Ovis aries: one gene and its partner. The protein of the gene in region 1 purifies or fractionates together with the protein of each later gene. This does not show direct contact. Links are inferred from orthologs where the notes say so. Each region holds a gene or a part of one and is shown on either strand. Other genes may lie near its edges. The genes, in order: LSM1 and PATL1.

The links.
Region 2: the proteins of LSM1 (region 1) and PATL1 purify together in Homo sapiens (co-immunoprecipitation; 3 studies listed by BioGRID and IntAct, with this or other methods). This does not show direct contact. The link is inferred for Ovis aries from reciprocal best matches to the Homo sapiens genes LSM1 and PATL1.

Annotation. Positions count from the first base shown.
Region 1 is NC_056079.1:32,431,745-32,440,479, reverse strand, and holds the end of LSM1 (U6 snRNA-associated Sm-like protein LSm1), read left to right. Parts: intron 1-114; coding exon 115-183; intron 184-1,579; coding exon 1,580-1,695; intron 1,696-4,763; coding exon 4,764-4,934; 3' UTR 4,935-5,299; downstream 5,300-8,735. UniProt on the Homo sapiens protein: Plays a role in the degradation of histone mRNAs, the only eukaryotic mRNAs that are not polyadenylated. Probably also part of an LSm subunits-containing complex involved in the general process of mRNA degradation.
Region 2 is NC_056068.1:81,415,199-81,423,933, reverse strand, and holds part of PATL1 (protein PAT1 homolog 1), read left to right. Parts: intron 1-344; coding exon 345-434; intron 435-668; coding exon 669-889; intron 890-2,726; coding exon 2,727-2,816; intron 2,817-5,006; coding exon 5,007-5,187; intron 5,188-5,709; coding exon 5,710-5,833; intron 5,834-6,655; coding exon 6,656-6,753; intron 6,754-7,203; coding exon 7,204-7,263; intron 7,264-8,285; coding exon 8,286-8,434; intron 8,435-8,735. UniProt on the Homo sapiens protein: RNA-binding protein involved in deadenylation-dependent decapping of mRNAs, leading to the degradation of mRNAs. Acts as a scaffold protein that connects deadenylation and decapping machinery.

The DNA of each region.
Region 1 (8,735 bases):
GCTCTATAAGAGGAAATGCTAAAGCTTAATCTGCTATTAACTCTGTTTTTGTTTCCCTGTAAACTCGCTGAAGCTAACGGTTCATTTTTTAAAGATCTCTTTTCCTCTCCCCAGAAAAGCACTTGGTCCTGCTTCGAGATGGAAGGACACTCATAGGATTTTTGAGAAGCATTGATCAATTTGGTATGTATTACTCATGGACTTATCATGAGTCCGTGGTGATAAGAGCCATGGTGGCTTTTATCATCCCACACTCTGGATGATAAGAGCTGCCCACTGTATTTTTATGTTGTTTCGTATTGAAGTTTATTTATCTGCAACTTTTTTCACGTACCTGGCATGATGAAATACTGTTTTAAGTCACTACATCATTGTTTTCTAAATTACAATTAGGTGGTTTGAAAGCTTGTGTTTACAAGCTTATATTTTATTTCTAAAACTGGTTTTCACTATTAGAACATGTCGTTACAATGTTTTGGACTGTTTTTTATTTTCCCCATTAGAGGGAGCCAGATGATAGAAATACACTCAGTCCACTGAAAAGGCTGCTCATTTGTACATTGGCTTGGGTGCGACTACTCTTCAAAGCAGTTCCTGCCCTGAAGGTAATCCCTCCCTGTCCAATGAAAAGTGGGTCAGAGGCCTTTCCTGAAGCTTTTTAGGGACCCCCAACATTAAGCTCAGGATTTTATACTTTAGGATACATCAGACTCAAGGTCTTAATCTTGATTCTGTCTCTTACGTTTTTCTAAAGAGACCTTACATTTGCTCCTGTCTTGAGGAACTTCCAGTTCATGTCAACATTTGCTGGACATCAGCTAGGTCAGTGGCTTTGGGCCTAAGGAAGAACAACATAATTGAAATACTTAGTAAGAATCACAGATGATAGTACTGTGTTTCTTCAAAGACGACAGCAGTACCGACTGAAAGAAGAAAAGTAATAATTCTGCACAGATTGTGATTCTGAACCTTAAGTCAAATTCATCAAACTACGTGAGGGGAAAGTAGTGAATACTAATGTTACTCTCAGATTACCAAATTATAGTCATCTGACAAAGGAGAAAAAAACAGATTACTGTTGTATCATAATCCATGAATACCTACATTGGATTAAATGAATCATCTGTACTGAAACAAAGGTAAATCTTTGATAAATCATCACACACACATACCTACACAAAGTAGGAAAAATGTTTCCTTCTAAAAGAGAAAAAAAGATAATTTCTGCAGTTGTTTGGACTTTAGAGTTTTCCAAGTGCCGTATCATATTATTATAGTCATGTTGATATCAGCAGTTAACTCATAAGGAATTTAATTTTCTTCATTTATTTCCACCATCCTTGTATTAATGCAACATAATCCCAAGTACTCTATTTGCAGTTGTTTAAAAATCTCCAAGTGGTGTGTCTGAATGAAATAGGATGAGATTGTTTGAAATTTTAGCATTTTCCAGAATTAGAAAGTTTGAAAATCACGTTCAGCTAATCGTTTCTACTCAAGATAACTGATTGAGTTATGGACCTTTACCTGTAAAGTAATTTGAACTAAATGTCTTTGTTTCTTCCCTGTACACTTATAGCTAACTTAGTGCTACATCAGACTGTGGAGCGTATTCATGTGGGCAAAAAATACGGTGATATTCCTCGAGGGATTTTTGTGGTCAGAGGAGAAAATGTGGTCCTGCTAGGAGAAATAGTAAGTGAAAACTGTTAAGCTCCTACGGCTCTTGATAATCATCCAGTTAGGTTTCTTTTTGTCTTTTCAAGAAGGGAAAAATGTTTTCCAGCTTCTCACAGGAAACCACCAAATTAGCTTAAGAAGGGGATATTGTAAAAGGAGAGCTGCAGAGCACAGTCAGCTTTGTTTCAGCGCCTTCTGGCATATTAAAGATTTTGATCCCATTAGCAGTAAAATATCATTGATTTTTACCTGATATCATAAAAAATACTGTCCTACAAGGGAGTTTTTTGGCAGTCCAATGGTTAGGACTCCACACTCTTACCGCAGAGGCCCGGGTTCAGCCCCTGGAACCAAGATCCCAGGAGCTGAGTGGTGCAGCCATTATATATATAAAACACTGTCCCACACAAATGTGTTCATTAGCAGATTACTCTTGTATCTTTAATAGAAAATTGAAGCCTGATACCCAACGAGAGAAGAATAGTCCAATGAAATATGGCTTACTAACACTGGAATATTTTGTAGTCATTTAAACAGTTGGTTACAATGGTCTTTCATGGCATAAAGGTAGTTGGGTTTGGGGGAAAGGCACATGGCATGTACAGTGTGATATCTGTGTTTTTAAAGGGGGCAGGGGGAAAGAGTGACTGCAGCAGAAGCCTTTCTTCATTTTCTGAGAATGGACTCAACCTCACTTGGCTTCTTAGCTCCCAGTCAAGGAGGAGGTTCCTGTTATCTGTCAGGAAAGCCAGCTGGCAAGTGAAAAGTTAAATCCTCTCAAGTGGTGTTTCTGTAGGTGTGAGTGTGTATGTGTGTGAACCATTAGAAAACTACTCCAAAATATATATTAGAACTACTCCGACATTTTTAAAGAAGATAAAACTTGATTTCACAGTTTACATGAAACATTTACTTTAAAAATGCTTTATTTAATATCTTTGACTTGATCCTGGTGCTTCTGATTATTGCGTTTTCCAGGAAAATCAAACCTTGATTTTATCTTTAAAGTTTTCAGTAGCATTTCACAATCCCTAGCCACTTGCTGAGTCAGGTTTACAGAACTCTGGAGAGAACTGGCTCAGTCTGTAGCTGCTTTTATTTGTTGTTGTTGTTGTTGTTGTTGTTTTGTTTTCGTAGCAGTTTTTAACTATACACCATTCGCGAAAGTAAGGAGGTAATTCTGCCAGGGTCGTGTTTGTTCATGTTGGAAGTAGATAGAAAAAACTAATCAATGCTGTCCAAGAATTGCTATGAAATATATGAAGTAATTTTGAAGTTTTAAAAGTATTTTTGTGGTTGATGTAAAGCACCATGGTATCCTGGGATGTGGGGGTTGGGATGGTCGTCTGACTGTATATTCAGAGGGACTGGCCAATCTCTGGATGGTAGGATGGTGGGTGATTATTTTTTCCCCCTTTTTTACTTTTCTGAATTTAACTTTTAGAGAGGAAATGTATTACTTTGCTATCAGGGGAAAGGTTTAAGTCACAAGACCACACACACTGCTTCAATTGAAGAGAAGAAAACAGCACAGATACGCTTTCTGTGCCAGTTACATTGGCACCGACACGGCGCTATGTAGATGTATGGGAAGACAAGAATTTGTGTTTATTCTTGATGTGTCATTGTTTCCTGGGAGCCCTTTCGTGGAGAAGAGTACTCTTTTTTTGTATGTTAACAGTTCAGATTCTGCAGAATTTTTTATAGTGGTATTACTAAAGAAATACGGTTCGGGACTGCTTCCACAGTTCTATGAATCTATGGTCTGTTTGAAGATGTTGTGTACCAATTCTAGGAAAACGCAAAACTAGAAGCCACTTGCATTCTGTAGACGCGCAGTTGTTTGTGAAGTCCCTGGCTTCTACCTCAAGGATAATGAGATACGGGGCCTTAAGTAATAAGCTGATTGTTGGGAAACAGCATTGCCATAACCACACGAATAGCTCAGCGCATAACATTGGAAAGTCCAGGAGGTAGGACACTGAGCCAAGAACATTGTCTTCCCTTCTGCTGCCCATGGGCTGTGAGGGAAGATCACACTTGATAATATATATTTTGCTGGATGCAGCTAACTTTTGAGGGCAGGCCTTGCTTATGGAATTTATGTGGCTTTCGCTCTGGGAGAGTCCTCCATCTGCGGTGTCACCGCTGTGGCTTCCAAGGCCTTGGCCGCCTCTGTAGATGAGCATCTAGCGGTAGGCTGGAACGTCTGGAGAGGTGGCATTTGCGTTGATGCCTTCCCAGATTTTGTAAGTAAAAGTCAGAGGAGGATGAGAAATGTGAGTACCCTGTCCGTAGAGGCTTTCCATGTTACAGAAACACCAAGTGATACCTAGATAAACTTCTTAAGGAGAAGAAACAGTCAGTAAATAGATAATTTTATAGCAAAGTACTGCATTATCAAGTTGGTTATCAGATGTTTAAGCTGTTCAAAAATAAAATATTAGCATATTTTACCATATTAAATGGGAAATGTAGCCAATATTTGCGAAGAATGAATGTTGGGGCCAAAATGGTTTACTAACCCAACTGGTTTGCTGAGGTTTTCTCCAGAAGACTAGTTGCCATGGGGGAGAAAGAAGTCCTGTGTTAACAGAGGGCCAGTTGATTGCCTTTGGCTTGGGGGCTTGGGGGCTGGGGGTCAGGGGTGCTACTTTGAATCAATGTTTTCTACTTTTTAGCAAAAAAAAAGCCCCAGAAATTAGGCTGACTTTGACTGTGTATAAATACAAAATTTATTTTAAGCTACCTTGACCTTGGTGACTTCTCTCTTGGATTCCCTGGGGTTGGGGAAATAGCTGTAAGAAAAGTAGTTCTTAACTTATGTAGGACTTTACTTTGCACAGACTAAAGCTTTGTTATGCACACTGATACTGATTCTTGTTAAACCACATCTGAGTGTTCTATAGGAGCATTGCCAGCCATTTCTTTGTAAAGTGTTATCTGTCCATAGGGTGTTTGTGCCCTGGCACAAGTTCGTAAAATAATTCAAGCCTGATATAGGAATCCGTTTGCCTTTGTATCTGTGATGTTTTCTATTCTTGGTCATGAGGTAAAGTTTCCCAAACCTACTTGTTTTGTAGGACTTAGAAAAGGAGAGTGACACACCTCTCCAGCAAGTGTCTATTGAGGAAATCTTAGAAGAACAGAGGGTGGAACAGCAGACCAAGCTGGAAGCCGAGAAGCTGAAAGTCCAGGCCCTGAAGGACCGAGGCCTGTCCATCCCTCGGGCAGATACTCTCGATGAGTATTAAGTCTTCTGCTCAGAGACTGTCGCTCCTGAGGAGCAGGGCTGTCACTAAGCGAAGTGACGGCCTGGTCACCTCACACGTGTGATGAGACTCTATAAGAGTTTTGAAAAGTCATTTTTGTTTTGAATTCTTTCACAGATGCAACATGAAGAAATCATGTGTTGTGTTCTGTGTGTGTGTGTGTGTTTTTTTTTTTTTTTTTTTCATTTTAATTACAAAATCATCATTTAAAGAAACAGTGGCATGGACTCCTCTCACTTATCACTGTGGAGCCAGCAGCTACTTCTTTACATTGCTCTTCTCACCCCAAATGAGTGGCTACAGGGGACAGTCTTCGTTTACTTGTAAATAAAACTCGAATCTCAAAATTGCAGTGTTATTTCTCAAGTTTGAGTTGCCTTCAGTGACTGGACATCATTTAATTTCTCCTCCAAGAGGTATAAGCAGTCCACACACACGTGGAATTTCCCTTCTGTCACAATTCCAGCCTACTCTTGTTTTAGTTCATTTATTTGGCTGTGCCAGGTCTTCGTTGCTGCACGTGGGACCTGTAGCCAAGGCCTGTGAACTCTTAGCTGTGGCACACGGGATCTAGTTGCCTGACCAAGGATGGAACTGGGGCCCCTGCAGTGTGAGTGGAGTCTTAGCCACTGGACCATGAGGGAAGTCACTTACAAAGGAGTATTCTCATACTAAATACCCTGCAGGTCCTCCCTTGTCCCCTCGTCTTTTATTTTTTTCCCCTAACAACAAAAAATGTTCAGGCTTGAGGAGGGCTCTTTCAGTGAGGTGTCACAGTTCTTGGTTACAACAGAAGCTGGCGTTTGAGAAGCAGGAGTGGTAGCAACTGCATCACCAGCTGTGTTCCCGTGAGACCCACATGACAACTTCCCTAAATGCTCTGTTAATCTCATGAGGTTTTTCTGGTCATTTGGCTTGAGTCTTGAGCATCTTATGGTGTCATCAAAAATAAGCACAGATAAAACGGTGTTTCAGTGACTGACTGATTGATCTAGGTTCTTCTCCACCCACATGTCTTGGCCGCCACGTAAGAGGCTGTACTTTCCAGGAGTTCAGTGTTGGGTATTGGACAGTGTGAACTTGGAACTGGGAGACAAACGGGTTAAAATCCAGACTCTTCTCTTTGGCACTTGGGTTCAAGCAAGTCAGTCTTCCTCCTTGACTCTGTTTTAACTGTAAAATTATTCCAGATACTTATAGTCTTGAGCAGAGACATCATTTGCAGAGAAGATACTTAAATCCAATTCTTTTCTTTGAGTTACTTTATAGTATTCAATATACTTCACATTTTATGAGCTCAGGGGTTTGCAGATAAACCATTTGACCTCAGCTATTCATCACTGGCTTGGTTTCAAAGGAGGTAATATGGGAAAAGTTGCACTTTGATTTATCTTGTGTGTTTCACCTCTAACCTTACCGCTGAATGGCCTTAATTTCTTATTCCCACATGAAGGGGAAAAGCCCATCACCAACTGTTTAAGATGTGGTTAACTTTCACTGCAAGAAGATTTTGAGAGCAGAATGTGTTGGTTTTGAGCACCACCATTTCAGAATATCCAACACCTTCAAGAGATTCAAGTTCACTGTAATCTTTTGTCTTCTTGACCTCACTCAGACAATTCCACATGCAATCATAAGACTTAGGATTTATTCTTCTGTTCAGGAGAAGACAATTCCCATAGTAGGTCAGGAATTTTCAAGCCATGGCTGGGTTTCAGTCATCACATACGGTAAGGTACTGCCCTTTAGACCATTGTCGCATGGGCTAGAGCTGAAGGATGGAACAAGACGAGGCTCCCTGCTCCCTCCCTTTCATCTCCCTGCCCCTCAGTGCAGGGATCCCCCTCAGCTCTGCCAGTCCAGGCTTTTTGCAGATACCGAAATTACCTGAAATTATCCATCTTCATTCTGATGTAACTGGGTGCAGCAGCCTCTCTCTCACCCTCCTAGCTGTTCTTTTCCCCCTTCCTTGGCGCTTGACCTTTCATTGCATTCTGTCAGCTAAATTTAAACCACAATATCTGTTCTCCCCTACTCGGCTAAAGTCCCAGAAGGCCCTGGGTACTCAGCAGAACCAGATACTCTCAAACCATCTGGCATGGACGCCACGTCAGCGTAAACTGCAGAGGTACCCAGATGTGATGGCTGGAGAGTGGCCTCAGTTTTGCTCACAGGAGTACAAGGGACAGGTCAGGCTGAGAGACAGACAGTAGAGCAGGTGGAGCAAGCCCTTGATGGGGCCAGAATTTCCTGTTCTCTTGTTTACAACATACTTGCCTCAGACAGCTACAAGAAAATCCTTCGCAGAAGACCCATTTTAAATAGCAACACCATCCCCAACTATATCCTTTGCAGCTTTGTCTTTCACCAGAGCAGTTATTGCAGTCGAACATTAATTTCACTCCCCTGACAAGAGTGTAAGTCCTCAAGGCAGGATTTTTGTCATATTCACTCCTGTGATTGCACATGGAGAACGATGTCAGGCACATATCAAGTCTCAGTACATCTCTGTGGAGGTGAAGGAAGGATGGATAAATGATGGATGGATAGGGCATGCGGTGGATTCAGGCTGGTTACTAAGATTACTTTAGAGACCAGTCAGAGAACTACCAGGAGTGAATACACTGAATATGGAGATGATTTCTTACTGCCCCCACTGGAGACTACGGCCCTCCAGGAGTGAACAGTTGGGAGATGATTGGTGTGAAAATGCCTGGAAGAGCATCCCAGGGAAATGGGACCGGGGCAGGGGAGGACTTGTCAGGGTTGCTGGAAGCAACAGATGTCTTTCTTCTGTCTGTTTCCCTCCCGCCAGCAGGGCTGCACCCCAGCGTCGTATATTACCCTTTTATGAAGTGAAAGTTGCTCAGTCGTGTCTGACTCTGTGACCACATGGACTATACAGTCAGTGGAATTCTTCGGGCCAGAATACTGGAGCGGGTAGCCTTTCCCTTCTCCAGGGGATCTTCCCAACCCAGGAATACAACCCAGGTCTCCCACATTGCAGGTGGATTCTTATCCAGCTGAGCCACAAGGGAAGCCCATATTACCCCTTTCAGTTCAGTTCAGTTCAGTCACTCAGTCGTGTCCGACTCCTTGCGACCCCATGAATCGCAGCACGCCAGGCCTCCCTGTCCATCACCATCTCCCGGAGTTCACTCAGACTCACATCCATCAAGTCGGTGATGCCATCCAGCCATCTCATCCTGGGTCGTCCCCTTCTCCTCCTGCCCCCAATCCCTCCCAGCATCAGAGTCTTTTCCAATGAGTCGACTCTTCACATGAGGTAGCCAAAGTACTGGTTTCAGCTTCAGCATCAGTCCTTCCAAAGAAATCCCAGGGCTGATCTCCTTCAGAATGGACTGGTTGGATCTCCTTGCAGTCCAAGGGACTCTCAAGAGTCTTCTCCAACACCACAGTTCAAAAGCATCAATTCTTCAGCGCTCAGCCTTCTTCACAGTCCAACTCTCACATCCATACATGACCACAGGTAAAACCATAGCCTTGAATAGACGTACCTTTGTTGGCAAAGTAATGTCTCCGCTTTTCAATATGCTATCTAGGTTGGTCATAACTTTTCTTCCAAGGAGTAAGCGTCTTTTAATTTCATGGCTGCAGTCACCACCTGCAGTGATTTTGGAGCCCCCAAAAATGAAGTCTGACACTGTTTCCACTGTTTCCCCATCTATTTGCCATGAAGTGATGGGCCCAGATGCCATGATCTTTGTTTTCTGAATGTTGAGCTTTAAGCCAACTTTTTCACTCTCTACTTTCATCAAGAGG
Region 2 (8,735 bases), on another chromosome or scaffold:
GAATTTCTGGGTCTTAGAGTGCCCGGGTCAGCAGACATGGTTCATCGTACTCAGCTGTTTCTTCCCTCAGCTCATCTCGTATCTTTAAAGATCTAGACTCGAAATGATCTGGTTTCGTGCTGTTACACTCCCTCATTCGACTGCTGCCTTTTCACGTTACATAATCCTGGTGCTTCGTAGCTCCTAGCATTACTCTCTGTTCCATTCCTTCAGCGGACAGTTCAGCTCTACCCTTTAAGAGTTTTCCTATCCATGTCTATTCTGCATTTCCGTTGAGTTCCTCTCTTGTTTCTCTGTGTTTACGGTATGACTCTAATGTTTTCTTTTCCTTTTCTTTTTTTTAGAACTCCTCCCTGCTGGGCCACCCTTTTCCCCCTAGCGTCCCTCCTGTCCTCAGCCCCCTCCAGAGAGCACAGCTTCTTGGAGGAGCGCAGGTAAGCGTAGGATTAGCTCAGCCCATAAGGAGCTCGCCTAACTTTCCTAAGGTTCACTGGCTCACATCCGCCCCCACCCTTTCTGTTTTGCTGCTAATCAATTCCTACTGCCTCTTCTTTCTTCCTGCCATTACTTTCTCAAGCAAAGTTATTGATGGAAACAGTATTCACTGTTCTGTGGATGAATGTAAGGGGACCTGCCAATCAGCTAAATCCAAGATCTTGTTTTTGCAGCTACAGCCTGGACGGATGTCTCCCAGCCAGTTTGCACGGGTCCCTGGATTCGTGGGCAGCCCACTTGCCGCCATGAATCCCAAGCTGTTGCAAGGGCGAGTTGGGCAGATGCTCCCCCCTGCGCCAGGCTTCCGCGCCTTCTTCAGTGCCCCACCCCCTGCTACACCACCACCTCCACAGCAGCACCCCCCTGGCCCAGGACCCCACCTGCAGAATCTAAGGTATACAGAGAAAGTGTGACTGTCTGTCCCTTGTCCACTGAGTCACTTGATTGTTGACATTTAGTGATAGAAGGTAGCAGTCTCCTTGCTGTTTTCAAATGATGTATTTTGTGATGTTATTTGATCCTCAAGTTGGCAAACACAGAAATGTTGGATGGTCTCCAACGTTTGATGTGAATCCCATTTCCCTCCAGTCATGTGCTTCCTGGGCCTCCCAGGTGGCTGGCTCAGTGATAAAGAGCTGCCTGCCAGTGCTGAGCCTTGGGTTCCATCCCTGGGTTGGGAAGGTCCCCTGGAGAAGGCGACCCCTTCTAGGATTCTTGCCTGGGAAATCCCATGGACAGAGGAGCCTGATGGGCTATAGTCCTTGGGGTCACAAAGAGTAGGGCGCAACTTAGCAACTAAACAACAGGATGCTTCCTACTTAGATTTGCACATTAATAACCTTTTTCTGGAGAAGGCAATGGCACCCCACTCCAGTACTCTTCCTGGAAAATCCCATGGACGGAGGAGCCTGGAAGGCTCGAAGAGTCGGGCACGACTGAGCGACCTCACTTTCACTTCTCACTTTCATGCATTGGAGAAGGAAATGGCAACCCACTCCAGTGTTCTTGCCTGGAGAATCCCAGGGACGGGGAGCCTGGTGGGCTGCCATCTATGGGGTCGCACAGAGTCGGACACGACTGAAGCGACTTAGCAGCAGCAGTCACCTTTTTATTTCTTCTAAAGTTTCTTATGTCTCACATATCCATTTGACACACACACATACATGCGCCAAGTGCTTCTCATCTAACAAGAATTATCTTACACTGAGGAACAGTGAGGGCAGTCCCTGACGGCCCCGTGGTTAGGACTCAGTGCTTTCACTGCCATGGCTCAGGTTCAGTCAGGGGAGCTGAGACCCAGCAAGCTACATCGTGCAACCAAAGAAAAAGAGGAACAGAGATAGAGATGCTGAGTTGTCAGCTAATCTCAGTGTTTAGCTACTTGCTTGCTTCCACTGGGACTTTACCATAGAGGTTTAAGTTCCTGCTTCAGTGAAATTGTGTTTTATTATATATCACATTGTCTCAGGGTTCTCCTGAGAAGCAGAACCAATAGCATATAGATAAATAAAGAAGAGATTTACTTTAAGGCATTGGCTTACATGAATGTGGGGCTAGGAAGTCCAGAATCTGTAGGGCAGGCCAGCAAGCTGGACATTCTGTTGGAAGTTGTGGTTGCAACCTGAGGTCTGAATTTGTAGGGCAGGTGAGCAGGCTGGAGACGCAATCAGGCCTTCCCATATTCCAGTCTTGAGGCAAAATTCCTTCTCTGGGAAACTGGTTTTCCTTTTAGGGCCTTCAACTGATAGGCAAGTCCCACCCACATTATCTAGGGCCATCTTTCTATTTCTTAAAGTTAATTGTAAATGTTAATAGCATCTATAAAACACCATCACAGCAATATCTAGATGAGTGTCCAAACAACTGGGTGTCTTAGGCAATCAGCATATTAAATTAACCGTCACATGTATATTTTCAGGATCATTTCCAAATCTGAATTTGAGTACATTAAATTTAGTTAGAGACTTCTCCTTAACAGCTAGGAGCAAAGAGAATTAAACTAGCTTACTGCTGATTCACTCAGATTTTATGATTGTCTTTTTAGGAGTTGAGAATTGTCTTTCATGGAAGACATGAAAATACAGCTGTGTCTTCCTTCTGAAAGATCTTCTTAGAGTAGACACCAGCATTCTCTTGGGTGAACCTGTGTGAAGTTATCCGGTATTGATCACATTCTTTAAAGCTTCAGGTCATCAAAAGGACAGAACTGAACATCTTTCCCTTTTTCTTAGATCGCAGACCCCAGTGTTTAGACCAGACACAACCCATCTTCATCCACAGCACCGTCGACTCTTGCATCAGAGGCAGCAACAGAATAGAAAGTACGTACTTAACCTCTTTTGTGGTTTCTTAATCTAGGTTTCATTTTTGCCTGATTTAGCTTACTTTTTAAGTAAATTTAATCAATATTGAGCTTATTTCAGCTGGCTAAGTCAGGTCATACGTGCTAGTTTATGTAATGCACAAGCTTTGAATGACTAGGGCTTATCAACTTATTTCCAAGTTAATATGATTCTGAAATGCAGTCTCGATCTGGGGTGGGGGTGGCCAGCATCTTCCACTCACTCCTTACCAAGTTCTTCCCATACTTCTGGCTGCGTTTTGTTTACCGTCTCGGCTCGGAGGTGATCTTGAAGTATAGTCTCTAGCATTACATTTGGGTCTTATGTAAAGCCGACAGTCACTTCGTTTTTGCCTCTGTTTAATCTTCATTCAAATATATATTTATATATGTGGCCCCAGCTGTGTACCAGCTACTGTGGTCAGTTTGGGAGATTGAAAGAACAAGACATAACATGCCCTTGCTTTCATGGAGCTTATATTTTGTCATCATTCTTATACATAAAATAAGAGAATTAAACATAACTTTGAAGTTTTTGCAGCCTTCCCTTTTATGGTTCTTTGTGTCTAATTTCCTTTTTCTTTCAAAAAAAAAAATTCTGGAATATTCTTTGCAGAGGTAAAAAACTAGTATGGGCCTTTAAGATACAAAAAATACAAACCGTAAAGGAAAAGATTAATAATATATTGACTGTTAAAATACAAACAGGCCTGCAGTTGACATTATGGTATTGTGCATTTCAGAATTTGAAAAGGTAGATCTCATGTTAAGTATCTTACCCGCCCCCAAGCCCCCCAAAAGGGAAGAAGAACAAAGGGACCCAAGGAGTGGGTGTATATGTCTAGTGCCTTTTTTATGCTGCTGGCATGACAAGTGTTTGCATTTGTCCAGACTTACCAATTTGTATACATTAAATTGTACATTTCTTTGTACAGCAGTTAGCAGCAGTTATTTGTAAAGTTGTTTACAAATATTTTTTATGAAATTGTAAAAATATATTAAACTTCTGTGTAATAAAAGGCATCAGACACAAGCATGCAGTCTTTCAATAGAGGAAACCTACATGGCTCATAAAAACACAAAGATTTTCAGGCTCACTTGTAATGAGAAAAGTGCAGATTGAAATTAGATAACCGTTTTATATCCTCAGACAGCAAAACATGAAGTGTCTCAACACTGTCGTTGTTAGCAGGAATGGAATATATATAGGCTTTGGAGAGAGAATTTGGCAATAAACAATAAGATTTATAATGTAGATACATTGAATCCTAGCAGTTTTACTTTTCAGAATATACCTGGGGGGTATATTATCAATGTGGACAAGTATGAAACACATAATATTGAATAAGAATCAAGGAGCAGAATTTTATGCCTAATACCATTTATGTAAAATGGAATACTACTGTATGATATTTAAAGGTAGATGTACAAGTAATATAAGTAATAAAAGGTAGGTGTACAAGTAGTAAAAGTATAAAAATATTTCTTGAAGGATATGTATCAAAGTCAGGATAGTAGTTCCTATAGGAAGGAAGGGGAGCTGGAAACTGATCTTGAGGGCTGTAGGTGGCCCCTCAACTGTAAACGTAGCACTGTGTTAGGTTAATATTTTACTTTTTAAAAATCTGAAACAAGTTTGACCAAATAATTTTTTCATTTAGTCCAAATGGTGAGTAAATGGATTTTTGAATAATGTTTGCTGGACCTTTCTATGTGTTTAAAGTATATCATAATTTTCAACAAGTTTTTTAAAAGTATGTAGACTTGGAGTCAAGGTAGCCTGTGGTCACACCTCTCACTGCTGCCAGGTGTACTGCTTTGGGCAAGTTACCTGATCTCTTCTGAGCTCAGTTTGTTGTCTTAAGTGGGGAAAATAAACTTACGGACCTCATAGGGTTATTATGGGGCTTATACACAAGTCCATAGGAGAAGGTGCTTAGCTTATGGTAAGGCACCCAGATTTTAGTTTAGTCCTCTGATTAGGTATTCCATAGCTCCTTCCTCTCAAATTTTGTTAAAATTCTATTCTTTTTCACTCCTCTTTTAATAAAAGCAAAGGGGATTTTTTTTTTTTTTTTTTTTTTTAGTTGGCCTGGTTTACTCCAGTATTGTTATAAGGTGTAATTCATGTGTCCACTCGGAGTGCATGTGACCTGTATTTCCTTTCCAGTCAGCATCGGACTCTCAACGGTGCAGGAGACAGAGGGAGTCACCGGAGCAGTCATCAGGATCATATCCGGAAGGACCCGTATGCTAACCTCATGCTGCAGCGAGAGAAAGACTGGGTCTCTAAGATTCAGATGATGCAGCTGCAGAGCACTGACCCCTACCTGGACGACTTCTACTACCAGGTGCGTGCTCTGGGCCAGTGCCCGGATGACTTCTGTTACCAGGCATGAGCACTGACCCCTACCTGGATGATTCTTATTACCAGGTATGCACTCTGGGCCAGTTTGAAAGGTAAGCTTAGTCACTTACCCTGGTGAAGGTACTCATTTAAGTATTGGTATAATTTTCTTCTGAGGTAGTCTTCAAGTAGGTAAGAATTTTGTCCCGTTTTTCAAGCTGAAGAATCTCTCACGATATTCACTGAAAGGTTTGCATATATGCCTTTTCTAAACTATAGAGACTCTCAAACCAATATTTTCAAATCTTTTGGCATCAATAATCTGGTTCTTAAAATTAAGAATTTTGGCAGTCTAATGATGTTTCCATTGATGCTAATTTTGAAGGCTGGGATTTTTTGATAAAGTAAATTCTTCACAATCTGATAAAAGTTAAAAGCCAGTACGTATAGAGCGCGAGCAGCGGTGCTGCCACTGGTGTAAGTCGCTCCATGATAGAGAGCGGCCAATCCTCTTCTCACATGGCAGAATTACTTTGAAAAACTGGAGAAGCTGTCAGCTGCTGAAGAAGTGCACGGTGACGGCCCAAGAAAGGAACGCACCAAGCTCATCACGCCCCAGGTGGCCAGGCTGGAGCACACCTACAAGCCAGGTGAGGCCGCTGTCCCACGCCCACGGCCGAGAGACTTGCTGTGCTGCTGGCGGGACGGCAGCCGCAGCTGTGTGGATGACGGGAAGGGGACGTGTGAGACTGATGTGCGCGGCACCGCTGTCCCTGACAGATGCGGAGGCCCACTTACTCAAGCGTGAACTGGATAGTTTGACAGATGACCTTTTAAGTCCATTCCTGCTTGAGATTCCATGACTTTTTAAAATGTTATAATTTCTAGTATCCATAAAATAGATAAAGGGGAAGATACTTCAGACTTTTCATAATTACAACCAAAAAAAAAATGGAAAAGGATATCTTTTGATAAGAGATTGCCTTCGATAATACATGGATTTTTGTAGTGAATTTTTAGGTCTGGAGTAAAGACTAGAGAACATAGGACCTCCTGGCAGTCTAGTGGTTAAGACTGTGCTTCCACTGCAGGGGGCTTGAGTTCCATCCCTGGTCAGGGGAACTAAAGTCCCCGCATGGAACACAGCGGGGCTTCCCTGGAGGCTCAGCAGCAGAGAACCCACCTACCGTGCAAGGGACAGAGGAGACGCAGGTTCAATCCCTGGGTCAGGAAGATCCCCTGGAGAAAAAAGTGGCAACCTGCTTCAGTATTCTTGTTTGGGAAATCGCACGGACAGAGGAGCCTGGCGGGCTGCAGTCCATGGGGCCACAAAGAGTCGGACACGACTCAGCAACTAAACAACAGCAGGCCATGCAGTGGGGCCAGAAAAGAGAGACTGTGATGATCTTCGTTGAATGCTGTCTGCCTGTGTTGCTGGGTTTTTACTTGTTGGCAACTTTTTGTCCTTGCAGTGCAGTTTGAGGGCTCTTTGGGAAAGCTCACTGTCTCTAGTGTGAATAATCCCCGAAAAATGATTGATGCTGTTGTGACGTCTCGGAGTGAGGATGATGTAAGTAGCCACAGAATTGTGTGTTTAAGGAAGTCTGGGTCAGCACTGCTTCTTTGACGGTCCCTGGGTTGGGATCCTAAGGCAGCCAGGCAGAACCTGGGGTGGCAGGAGCCTTTGAACTGGCTCCTGCCAGGTAACCCTGGCCACAAACAGCATTAGCTGTTTGTTCCAGCTTTTAAAACTATCATTTTCTGTGTGCTTAAGATTTTCCTATGGTATCTTCATTTTCCATTGCATTCTCCAGTACCTTTTGCTCCTCTGTGAACTTAGTTACTAGTTCATGTGTGGGCCCTTCAGTCAGCTCTGTGACCTTTGCCCCCATTACTTCTGCCTGATTATTAATCCCCACAGTACTGTCACAAATAGAATTACCTATGGAATTTACCAGCAGTAAATAATTCTTAACATGGTTAAAGAGTTCATATTGAAAAGTCTTTTCTTTTTTTTTAGGAGACAAAAGAAAAACAGGTTCGGGACAAAAGACGAAAAACCCTTTTCATAATTGAGAAAGTAAGTTTAGAATTGCCAAAGGTGCTGTAGTTGGTTTCAGCTTAGCAGACTGTGAAATGTGTGTGTACGCGACACGTGGGGAAGTAAACAGTCGGCCAGTGTCCTGCGATTTTAACTGATGTACATGTTTGTGCAAAGTGCCTGTTGTGTACAGGGCATGCTGGAAAGGAGTGTGGTTTACCTCGCCTGTGGCCTCGTGGAAAGAGCACTGTAGTTACAATCAGAAGTCCTGGGGTTTTGTCCAGGCTTGTTCAGTTAGTGGCTGAGTGTTTTAGGGCAGGGCATCTTTCTAAGAAAATGAAGAGAAAAATTACACTGTTCTGCCTGTGAATGGATTGTCTGTTCAGTCAGTTCCCGTATGTTTATTGACCATTCCCTGGGTGTTGGGCACTGTCCTGGGTTCTAAGGAAAATCAGTAGTAGGCAGTTAGTGTTGAACCATAAAACACCATGTTGTGGGGCATAGAGTATAGGCGTTAAGAGCACAGACTCTGAGAACAGGCTCCAAATCATTTCTCACCAAGTCTGTGACTTGAGGCAAGTCATTTAACCTTTCTGTGCCGTCTTTGGTTTTTTAATCTTTGAGAATGAAAGTGGTGAGAGTCTCCTCTCACTGGGCTGTGGTGAGTATTCCATGAGTGAGTATTGGCACGGTGCTTAGAGCGGGGCCTGGCACCCTATAGTCGCTAGCTGTTTCGTTTTCACAGATAGAGGCATCACGGGACGCGGTGGCGTGCATTGCTCACGTTACTAACAGGGCTGCTGCTGGAAACTTTGGGAAGTGGATAATCGTGTCACTACCATCGCCTGCTGGATTAGTGGTCAAGAAGGGGCAGGGAGCGATTCCTGAAGGGTGTCTTCTTCCTGAGTTGTTTGACAGTGTTTCTCTGGGTTTAAGCGAGCAGGTTTTTCCTCTCACTCTTCTGTGAGCTTCCACTCTTACGTTGTTGTCTGCTAGTCCTGGACGGCCACGTTGTGCACCTCACGCTGAGTTTGCTGAGGCCCGCTTTGTCTCTCCCTTAGACCTACAGTTTACTGCTTGATGTGGAGGATTACGAAAGGCGTTACCTCCTAAGTCTGGAAGAAGAGCGACCTGCCCTGATGGATGAAAGAAAGCACAAAATTTGTTGCATGTACGACAACTTAAGGGGGAAATTGCCTGGACAGGAGAGGTGAGAATTGTGTCCTTTGGTGAGAACATTAGTCTCGCTGGATTCCTTTGAGCTTTATATATCCTGCCTTTACCCTTCCTTACCATTTCAGTAAGCTCACTCCATAGAAAACATTTTAGAATCCTTTTGAGCCTGGGGTGGGGGAGGGGGTGGAAATCTATGTATCTTGAATTCATTCATTTAGCAAGTACCTCTTCAATACCTATTAGGAACAGTGCTGGACGCTGGAGACAGTGGGAAACATTTAGTTTCTTTTGTTGAGCTTATAGATTGTATCTAGTTTATGCTTACTAATGTTCAA